Canis lupus familiaris: one gene and its partner. The protein of the gene in region 2 interacts with the protein of the main gene of each other region in a pairwise test. Links are inferred from orthologs where the notes say so. Each region holds a gene or a part of one and is shown on either strand. Other genes may lie near its edges.

Evidence for each region.
Region 1: the proteins of MIA2 (region 2) and TTC23L interact in binary tests that used the Homo sapiens proteins (3 or more experiments, as listed by UniProt). The two-hybrid records come from large-scale screens. The link is inferred for Canis lupus familiaris from reciprocal best matches to the Homo sapiens genes MIA2 and TTC23L.

What each region holds. Positions count from the first base shown.
Region 1 is NC_049225.1:74,362,957-74,367,321, forward strand, and holds the start of TTC23L (tetratricopeptide repeat protein 23-like), read right to left. Parts: upstream 2,871-4,365; 5' UTR 2,738-2,870; coding exon 2,720-2,737; intron 2,324-2,719; coding exon 2,205-2,323; intron 1,040-2,204; exon of another isoform or gene 911-1,039; intron 884-910; exon of another isoform or gene 681-883; coding exon of another isoform or gene 664-680; exon of another isoform or gene 639-663; intron 1-638.
Region 2 is NC_049229.1:17,565,307-17,569,120, reverse strand, and holds part of MIA2 (melanoma inhibitory activity protein 2), read right to left. Parts: intron 3,121-3,814; exon of another isoform or gene 3,010-3,120; intron 2,310-3,009; exon of another isoform or gene 2,244-2,309; intron 1,595-2,243; coding exon 406-1,594; intron 1-405. UniProt on the Homo sapiens protein: Plays a role in the transport of cargos that are too large to fit into COPII-coated vesicles and require specific mechanisms to be incorporated into membrane-bound carriers and exported from the endoplasmic reticulum.

The DNA of each region.
Region 1 (4,365 bases), on a different chromosome or scaffold from region 2:
TTTGCCAAATTAAACCTCTGAATTAAATCTTTCCCCTAATTCCCACTCCATAGTACCTCCAAAATCCCTGATTTTTTTTTTTTTTTACCTCCCTAAAGCCAGTATATTTACAGCTCCTGAATCATCAAAACTAGGTTCTCCTACTCAAGTCAGATACTGTTTTTGCCAGATGGAGCCAAGCAAAGCAACCAGTTTTAAGCATTAAATGAGTATGGCCAATGCACTGGTTAACTCTCCTTGCCCCTAGGGCTAGCCCGCTAATTTAATAGGGAGGCCCAGTCAAGGACCCACACGCGTCCGTTTGGGTATTGTCCTTAGTTGATGGGGGAAACGGCTGAAACCTCATGACAAAAATCTGATTTATAATTATCTGTGAAATTCAATTCTCATGGCTCTCCCTGTTGCCTAGATCAAATGGGAATCGAGGGCAGCCCCGGTGGCTCAGCGGTTAGCGCCGCCTGCAGCCCAGGGCGTGACCCTGGAGACCCGGGATCGGGATCGAGTCCCACGTCGGGCTCCCTGCAGGGGCCTGCTTCTCCCTCCGCCTGTGTCTCTGCTTCTGTGTCTCTCAATAAATAAATAAAATCTTAAAAAAAAAAAAAGAAAAGAAAATCGGAATCGAAAGCCGCTCATCTCACCCTGCAGAATGTCACTCATTCCCACCTGAGGAGCCTGAACATCCACAGTCCAAACACCAGAAAGAGCTTAATTTCGCTTTCTAATCTCTGCTTCCAAAACCATAGCCCCGAGGGCGGGGGGGAGGAGCTCTGAGTTCTCAGACTCCGAAACTGCGCTCCAGGAGGCTCCACCAGGCCCCACCCGAGCCTCGGAGGCCGCTTCCCCGCGGGTGCTGCAGCCACGGCGGCCCCCACCTGGAGGCGGCGGCGGGGGCGGGGGCGGGGCCGCGCACCTGGGGGGCGGGGAAGCCACGCCCCGGAACGAGCCTGGCCGCTCCCTCAGCCCGCGCGCTCCGCTCCCTCCGACCGCGTCGGCGTCGGCGCACCCGCCTCAGGGCGCCTCACGGATGCCCGGCGGAAGCGAGGCCCTCGGCTCGGTCGGCGCGGCGCGCGCGAAGCCCGGGTTCCGGCGCGGGGACGCCGGGGTTGCCACGGGAACGGAACGCCGCCGACCGCGCCGCGAGCGGCGTCGGCGTCGGTCGCCATGGCGACGCGGGGCACTTCCGGCGCCGGAAAGCCCGCGGCCGCAGCGCGGGAGCTCCTCCCGGACCCTGGGCTTTCCCGTCTCCACCGGTGCTGCGGGCGCTTCGTCACCTGTTTCTTTTTTGTTTGTTTAAAGATTTTATTTATTTATTCATGAGAGATACAGAAAGAGCAGAGGCACAGGCAGAGGGAGAAGCAGGCTCCCTACAAGGAGCCTGACATGGGACTCGATCCGGAGTCTCCAGGGTCACATCCTGGGCCGAAGGCGACGCTAAACCGCTGAGCCAGCCGGGCTGCCCTTCGTCCCCCGTAGTTTCCCTGAAAGGGACTCGAGCTCCCGGGTTGACGGGAAGCCCCGTCGCGGGCTGGGAGGGAGCAGCCGCCGTTCCCGGCTGTCGGGGCGCTCTCCCGGCCCCCGAGGAAGGGCTCAGGTGTGACCGTGACGCCCGTCCCGGTAAGGTTTGAGCTGCGCTTGATCACGAAAGCCGAGCGCAGGGAGGGAGTAGCTTAAGGAATGGGCCGGTAGTGCTGCTCCCGACGCTGTCTTCGAGAGGTGGGGCGCGTTTGGCAAACCCCGCGTCGCCCCCACTTACGCAGCAGGTGTTCTGATGCCACGACTCTTCAGGGGCCCGGAACACACGGGGGTAAGGGTAATGCAGACCCGACAGGTGCAGGGGCAGCTGGGGCCAGCTAGGGGTAAGGGTGTCAACACGAGCCCGACAGTGAGCCAGGGGCCTAGGACAAGTCAAGCTGATGCTATGTCCTTGTTTTCTTTTCTTTTTTTTTTAAGATTTTATTTATTCATGATAGACACAGAGAGAGAGAGGCAGAGACACAGGCAGAGGGAGAAGCAGGCTCCATGCACCGGGAGCCCGACGTGGGATTCGATCCCGGGTCTCCAGGGTCAGGCCCTGGGATGAAGGCAGGCGCTAAACCGCTGGGCCACCCAGGGATCCCCGCTGTCCTTGTTTTCAACACACAGACGCACACGCACCACCACCACCACCAAAACAGACTTGGTAGAGAGAGAAGGAAAATATTTACCAAGAACTTGAAAGGTGGTATTTGCATTTGGTGTTTGTTCTTTCCAGTTCCAGGTTGAAGTTTAATTGCTGTTGACCCAAGACTGCCAAGATAGCCTTTCTGCAGTTAGGCTGGAGGAGCTATATAAATGAATTTGCTTAAATATCTCTGAGGTAAAACCTGGACACCCTTTTAGGGTTTAAATCCATACCTGTAAAGTCGTGAGCCAAAATTTTAGAAAGATCCCACCCCCTTTATACTCTTTCCTAGCAGAACAATGAACTCCGCTTCAAGGTTTCAGGGCTCTAGTTTGGACTCTTGTGTGGCCTGGGGCAAATCACAGCCCCTGAGTCTGAGTTTTCTTACCCTTACAATGAGCATATTTGTGACCACTGGCTTTCTAACCCACCCACCCCCAGTCCCCAGGATTCTTTGATGGCAAGCTGCAGAGTTTTGTGACTCTTTGAACAATATTTAACACAAAGGGGGGATAAGAAAGAACTAGTTTTCTGTTCTCTAACACTGATTTCCCTTACCCTTAAGTTGGTCTTCATCAAGTTGAAAAGTTTTATAACGTTTTTGTTCTAGGAGTTGACTCTTAAGTAGATGAAATGTAACTTCTCTTTCTTGAACTCGGTTTCCTGCCCATCATTGTGAAGTGAGGTACCAGAACAGGCCCTGAATTCCCATTCTAAAAATGATAGTCTGGTTCTACTTCTATTTAATTAGCTTTGACCAAAAGCCATGCACCTGTAAAATCAGAAGTCAAATTAAAAACAAAAAATGGGGCAGCCCAGGTGGCTCAGCAGTTTAGCAGCCGGGGTGGCTCAGCAGTTTAGCGCCGCCTTCAGCCCAGGGCGTGATCCTGGAGACTCGGGATCGAGTCCCACGTCGGGCTCCCTGCATGGAGCCTGCTTCTCCTTCGGCCTGTGTCTCTGCCCCTCTCTCTCTCTCTCTCTCTCTCTCTCTCATAAAATCTTAAAAAAAAATTTTTTTTAAATGTTAAACTCTCAGAGTTCCAAAACTGTGTGCTGTTTTTTTCTTTCTTTGCCATCTTCACCCTGTCCCCAAATATAAACCTTAGTTACATCTTGACACTCACAATCACATTGGTACTCTGTGAGTTTCTCTCACTCCCCATGGTTTTGTCCATCCAACCAGAAGAAAAAACATATTGAGAAATACCTGCTATGTGCCCAATACTGTTTTAAGCATTAAGGAAGCAGTAGTGAAAAAATAGACAACGATTTTGCTCTTCTGGAGCTTCTATTCTACTAGAATAAGAAAAACAGGGCTATTAGTAAATAGTCTGATGTCTCTGCAAGTTAGAAAAAGTCACAGGGCCAGGGAAATAGGCAACAACTTTGTGTGAATTAGAAAAGGAAAAAAAAAAAGAAGCTTCTTCCTCCAGCCAGACTCAGGCCCCTCCTAAGCAGTAAAGCTTTGGGAACAGAGGTTGGACTGGATTTTAGGACTCTTTTCCTCCCTCAGCTGGGTGAACCACCTTACATGGAAGTGACAAATTATATGGGAGAAATGTACAGCCAGATAAAGGATCTAGAAAGTGATGTGGACATGTAGGGTATGTAAGTTTATATAGTGTGGTTGAGGAGGGCCTCTCTGACAAGGTCATTGAGCAGAAGAAATAAAGGAGCCATCAAACAAACGTCAAGTTGAAGAGCATTCTAAGATAACAGCAAGTACAAAGGCCCTGAGACAGGAGCAAGTTTGGTGGATTCAAGGAAGAGCAAAAGGGCAAGAATGAGAAAGAGGGGGCACCTGGGTGGCTCAGTGGTTAAGCATCTGGCTTCTGCTCAGGGCATGATCTTGGGGGCCTGAGATCGAGTTCCACATCAGGGGAGCCTGTTTCTCCCTCTGCTTATGGCTCTGCCTCTCTTTCTGGGTCACTCATGAATAAATCTTCAAAAAAAAATGAGAAGGAGGGGTGTCTGGGTGGCTCAGTGGGTTAAGCGTCTGCCTTGGCTCAGGTCATGATTCCAGGGTCCTGGGATCGAGCCCTGTGCTGAAACTCCCTGCTCAGAGGGGTGTCTGCTTCTCCTCCCTCTGCCCTTCTGCCATTTCATGCCCGCTCTCTTGCTCTCTCTCTCTCAAATAAAATCTTTAAAACAAAAGAATGAGGAGACAGAAGAATGGGCCAGCAAAAAGAGTAAAGCCTGCAGGG
Region 2 (3,814 bases):
ATGGACAGAGGGAACAGAAACTACTTTTGTTTAAAAAGGAAAAAAAAAAAGCCTTAGTACTATTTATATTTTTAAACCTATTTACTATACTATTTTGGAAAAAAATAAGAATTTATTGTAAAATACCTTAAGATCTTCTTGGAACATATATGTATCTCCAATCATTCTTTCTCCCTTGGTATTTCATTATATTAAGATCTAAGTCCCACAGTAAACCAGAAAATATTAAAAGGATAATTGATAATGTTGTTGATTATTGAATATTTTGAGAAACATGGATTTCTGGACTTTTTCATCCAATTTGTACTTATAAGAATTAATTATATTTTAAAAACAAATTATATTATAAATATTTTATACCAACCTGACTGTATCTGCCTTTCAACATTATAAGTTTCATATTACCTGTGTGATAATTTTCAGCTGAAAATTCTTCTGTTTCATCATTTTCAATTACATTTTCTTCATCCTGTATCTGTTTAGAAAATGGCAATTCTGTCTCCTTTGAAATGTCCTGGAAGTTCCAGGGGTTGTCAAAATTATATAGGAACTTTTTAAAATATGGTAAGGTATCAAAATCATCCGTGTTCTCTAAGACTCTTTCTGTGTCTACTTGATCTTCAGTTTCCATACTTTTTATTGTTTTTATTTCTTGTTCCATATCAGGGTCAAATTTACTTGTTGGAGGATGTTCGTGTTTATCTCCTCCACCTCCTTCTTCACTTTTTCCATCATCTGATACAATTTTATGTTCATTGGTGTATACAAAGCCTAGCATACCAAAACCAAAATCAAACCAACTTGGCCTGAGAATTGAGGTATCATTGGCAATTATGTCTTCTTTTTCTGTTGATATTTCTGTGCATGGAACCGTGGGTTCTTCCTCAGATGATATAGAATCAAGAACATCTTGTAGTGGTGGATTGCTTTCTTTAGGCAATAATTCAAGCCCTCTATTCTCATCTCCAAAACCTAAATAACTTTTAAAACTACCCCCAAACCAGCCAGTGGCTTGAGGACTGATAATGTTCTCTGATTCAGAATCTACTTCAGATTGTTTCTTTGGCAATGAATAGAATTCCAGTTCAGGTTCTTGCTTTTGTTCTGTTTGGTGTTTATCATTATTTAATTCCTCCAGGTCATTCCCATCTTCTCCTGCCATTTTTCTACTTTGAAATGAACTTTCTTCTAGAGGTTCAATAACTGATTCAAAAGTCTTTCCTTCAGCTTGTTCCCTTCCGAATCCAAACCATCCTTTCACTTCAGACACAGTTGAGGATGGCAGGATATGATCCACTTCTGGAACAGAATCCTCTTCCATACTTCCAGCTTCTACTCCTTCCCACTCTTTTGATTCAGTAGTACTTCTGATATCTTCAGGAGCCTCTGATGCTGGAAATTGATCTTCAAACCAAGTACTTTCAGAAGGTGAATAAAATCCAGATTCTGTCTGAAAATCACTGTCATATACACTAGATTTTTGGTCCTTATCTTCTTCATATGGATGTATATTTTTGCCATCATCATTGCTTAATTCACTGTCTTCATTTTCAAATGAATAACTTACTCCAAGAAGACAAAGAAAATCAGATTCCTATAAGAAAAAAATTGATTCTAAATATACTAAATATACTAAAATTCCTTGTTTCTCCCTAAATCATTTAAAACAGATGACTGATTTTCCCAAGACCATACAACTAGCTTAACAGCACAACAAAAACTAAAACCAGATCTCCTAATCTCCAATATTTATATCACAACTAACTCAGGGTCAATGATATTAATCTAAGTGAAAATTCAAGCTTTGAGTATATCCTGAAAATAAACTCTTGATGAAAAGGCATACATGGGGATCCCTGGGTGGCGCAGTGGTTTAGCGCCTGCCTTTGGCCCGGGGTGCGATCCTGGAGACCCGGGATCGAATCCCATATCGGGCTCCTGGTGCATGGAGCCTGCTTCTCCCTCTGCCTGTGTCTCTGCCTCTCTCTCTCTCTCTCTGTGTGACTATCATAAATAAATTAAAAAAAAAAATTAAAAAAAAAAAAAAAAAAAGAAAAGGCATACATGTCCACAAAATCTTGCTTTTTTTAAGAGTGCATTGAACAGACACATGCAGCTGTTTGGTGAATTGAGAGAGGGGCATTTCACAGCACATGGAGACAGCTCAGACAGCCCAGAGACTCTAAATCATGAAGGCCTTGTTAAAATTTGCACTACAACATTTAAACTTCTTTTATTGTATAGAGTCAACTGTGGTGGGGAATCCTCTTGTTCATCTCAGAACAACCAGATCTTCAAGAAGAAAAATGGTGAAGTTAATATTTTTTTTAAATTTCATTTTAAGTAGGCTTCATACCCAATGTGGGGCTTGAACTTATGTCCTGGAGATCAAGAGTTGCATGTTCTACCAACTGAGCCCGGCAGGTGCCCCAAGGTTGTTATTTTTTAATCTGAAGGTATGAAACAGTGATCTGTGCTGTTTTTTGGATATGATCATTATGAAATGAGAATAAAGTTCAGAATTTTTAAAAAGTAAACTTCAAAATTGAAATTTTACAATGTTTTGGGGACTGCAGTATAGTAGGTAATTGAGAACAGACTCTGGAGCCAATTGTCTAAGTTTAAGTCCTGACCCTGCCACTTACTAGCTCTATGAACTTGGTTGAATTATATGTCCTTTCTATGCCTCAGTCTCATCTGTAAAATAAGGATAATGACAGTACCCACCTTATAGGGGTGTTGTGTTGTGAAGATTAAATGAATGATGTGCTTAGAATAGTAACTCTGTTACTATTAGTAACTAATAGTAACTCTCTGTTACCACTAGCCTAACCTACCCCAAGTTACACTACCCCAGGTAAGCCACTAATGCCTTGCCTCTATTCAAGGCAACTCTGAAAGGCCATCCCAGATTCAGAGTTCCTTATGGAATCAACTGAGACTTTTGTTGCAACTGCATCACAGTTCAACTTCTCTGCCCAATTTTGCTTCTTCTTTTGCTCCCTCACAGGTGTTATTCCTATGAGTACTCCCCAGTAAACCTCTTGGGTGCAAAGGTCCACCTCAGAGTCTGTTTCCCAGGGAACTTGACCTAAAAATGTAGGGCTTACATTTTACATGGTAAGTATGTGCTTACTATGTGCTGTGCACTGTGCTAGGTGCTGAAATTCTATAGTAAACAAAAAGAAAAAGGTAATGATGAATTGTGATAAGTGCAATGGAGGAAATAAACAGGAATCTGTTAATCTGTTAATTACTGCATCTTAATCAAAAGATGCAGTAATTCCACAAGAATCATCATGGAAGGCCTCTGTGTGGCACCAATGTTTATGGGCGATGTAAAAGATAAGAGCGATGTAAAGGATAAGAAGGGACTAGCTAAGTGAAGAACGTGGAGAAAGCATTTGAACCACAGGGCAAAGCCTGTTTGGGTTTCTGGGCTGGGAAAATGTTTTGCATGTTCTAAGAACAGTCAGTAGGCGAGTGTTGGCCAGGAGCATAGTGAGTGAGGGGAGAGCAGTATAAGAGAGGGTCATTGAGATGGAGGTTGGGGACAGGAGCGCAGATCGTGTAGAGCCAGGGTAAGGAATCAGGGCTTGATTCTAGGTTCATTGGAAATCCATTAACAGGCTTTAAGCCAAAGGAATGACAACTGAATTGTTTGTTTGTTTTAGTTTTGTTCCTATGAGATCCATTGCTGTTTGGAGAATAAATTGGAAGAGGACAAAACTAGGGGCCAGGAGACCAGTATTGCAGTATTCTAATCAAAAGATTATGAGGTTGGGCTATGGGGAGAGTGAAGACAATATATTCC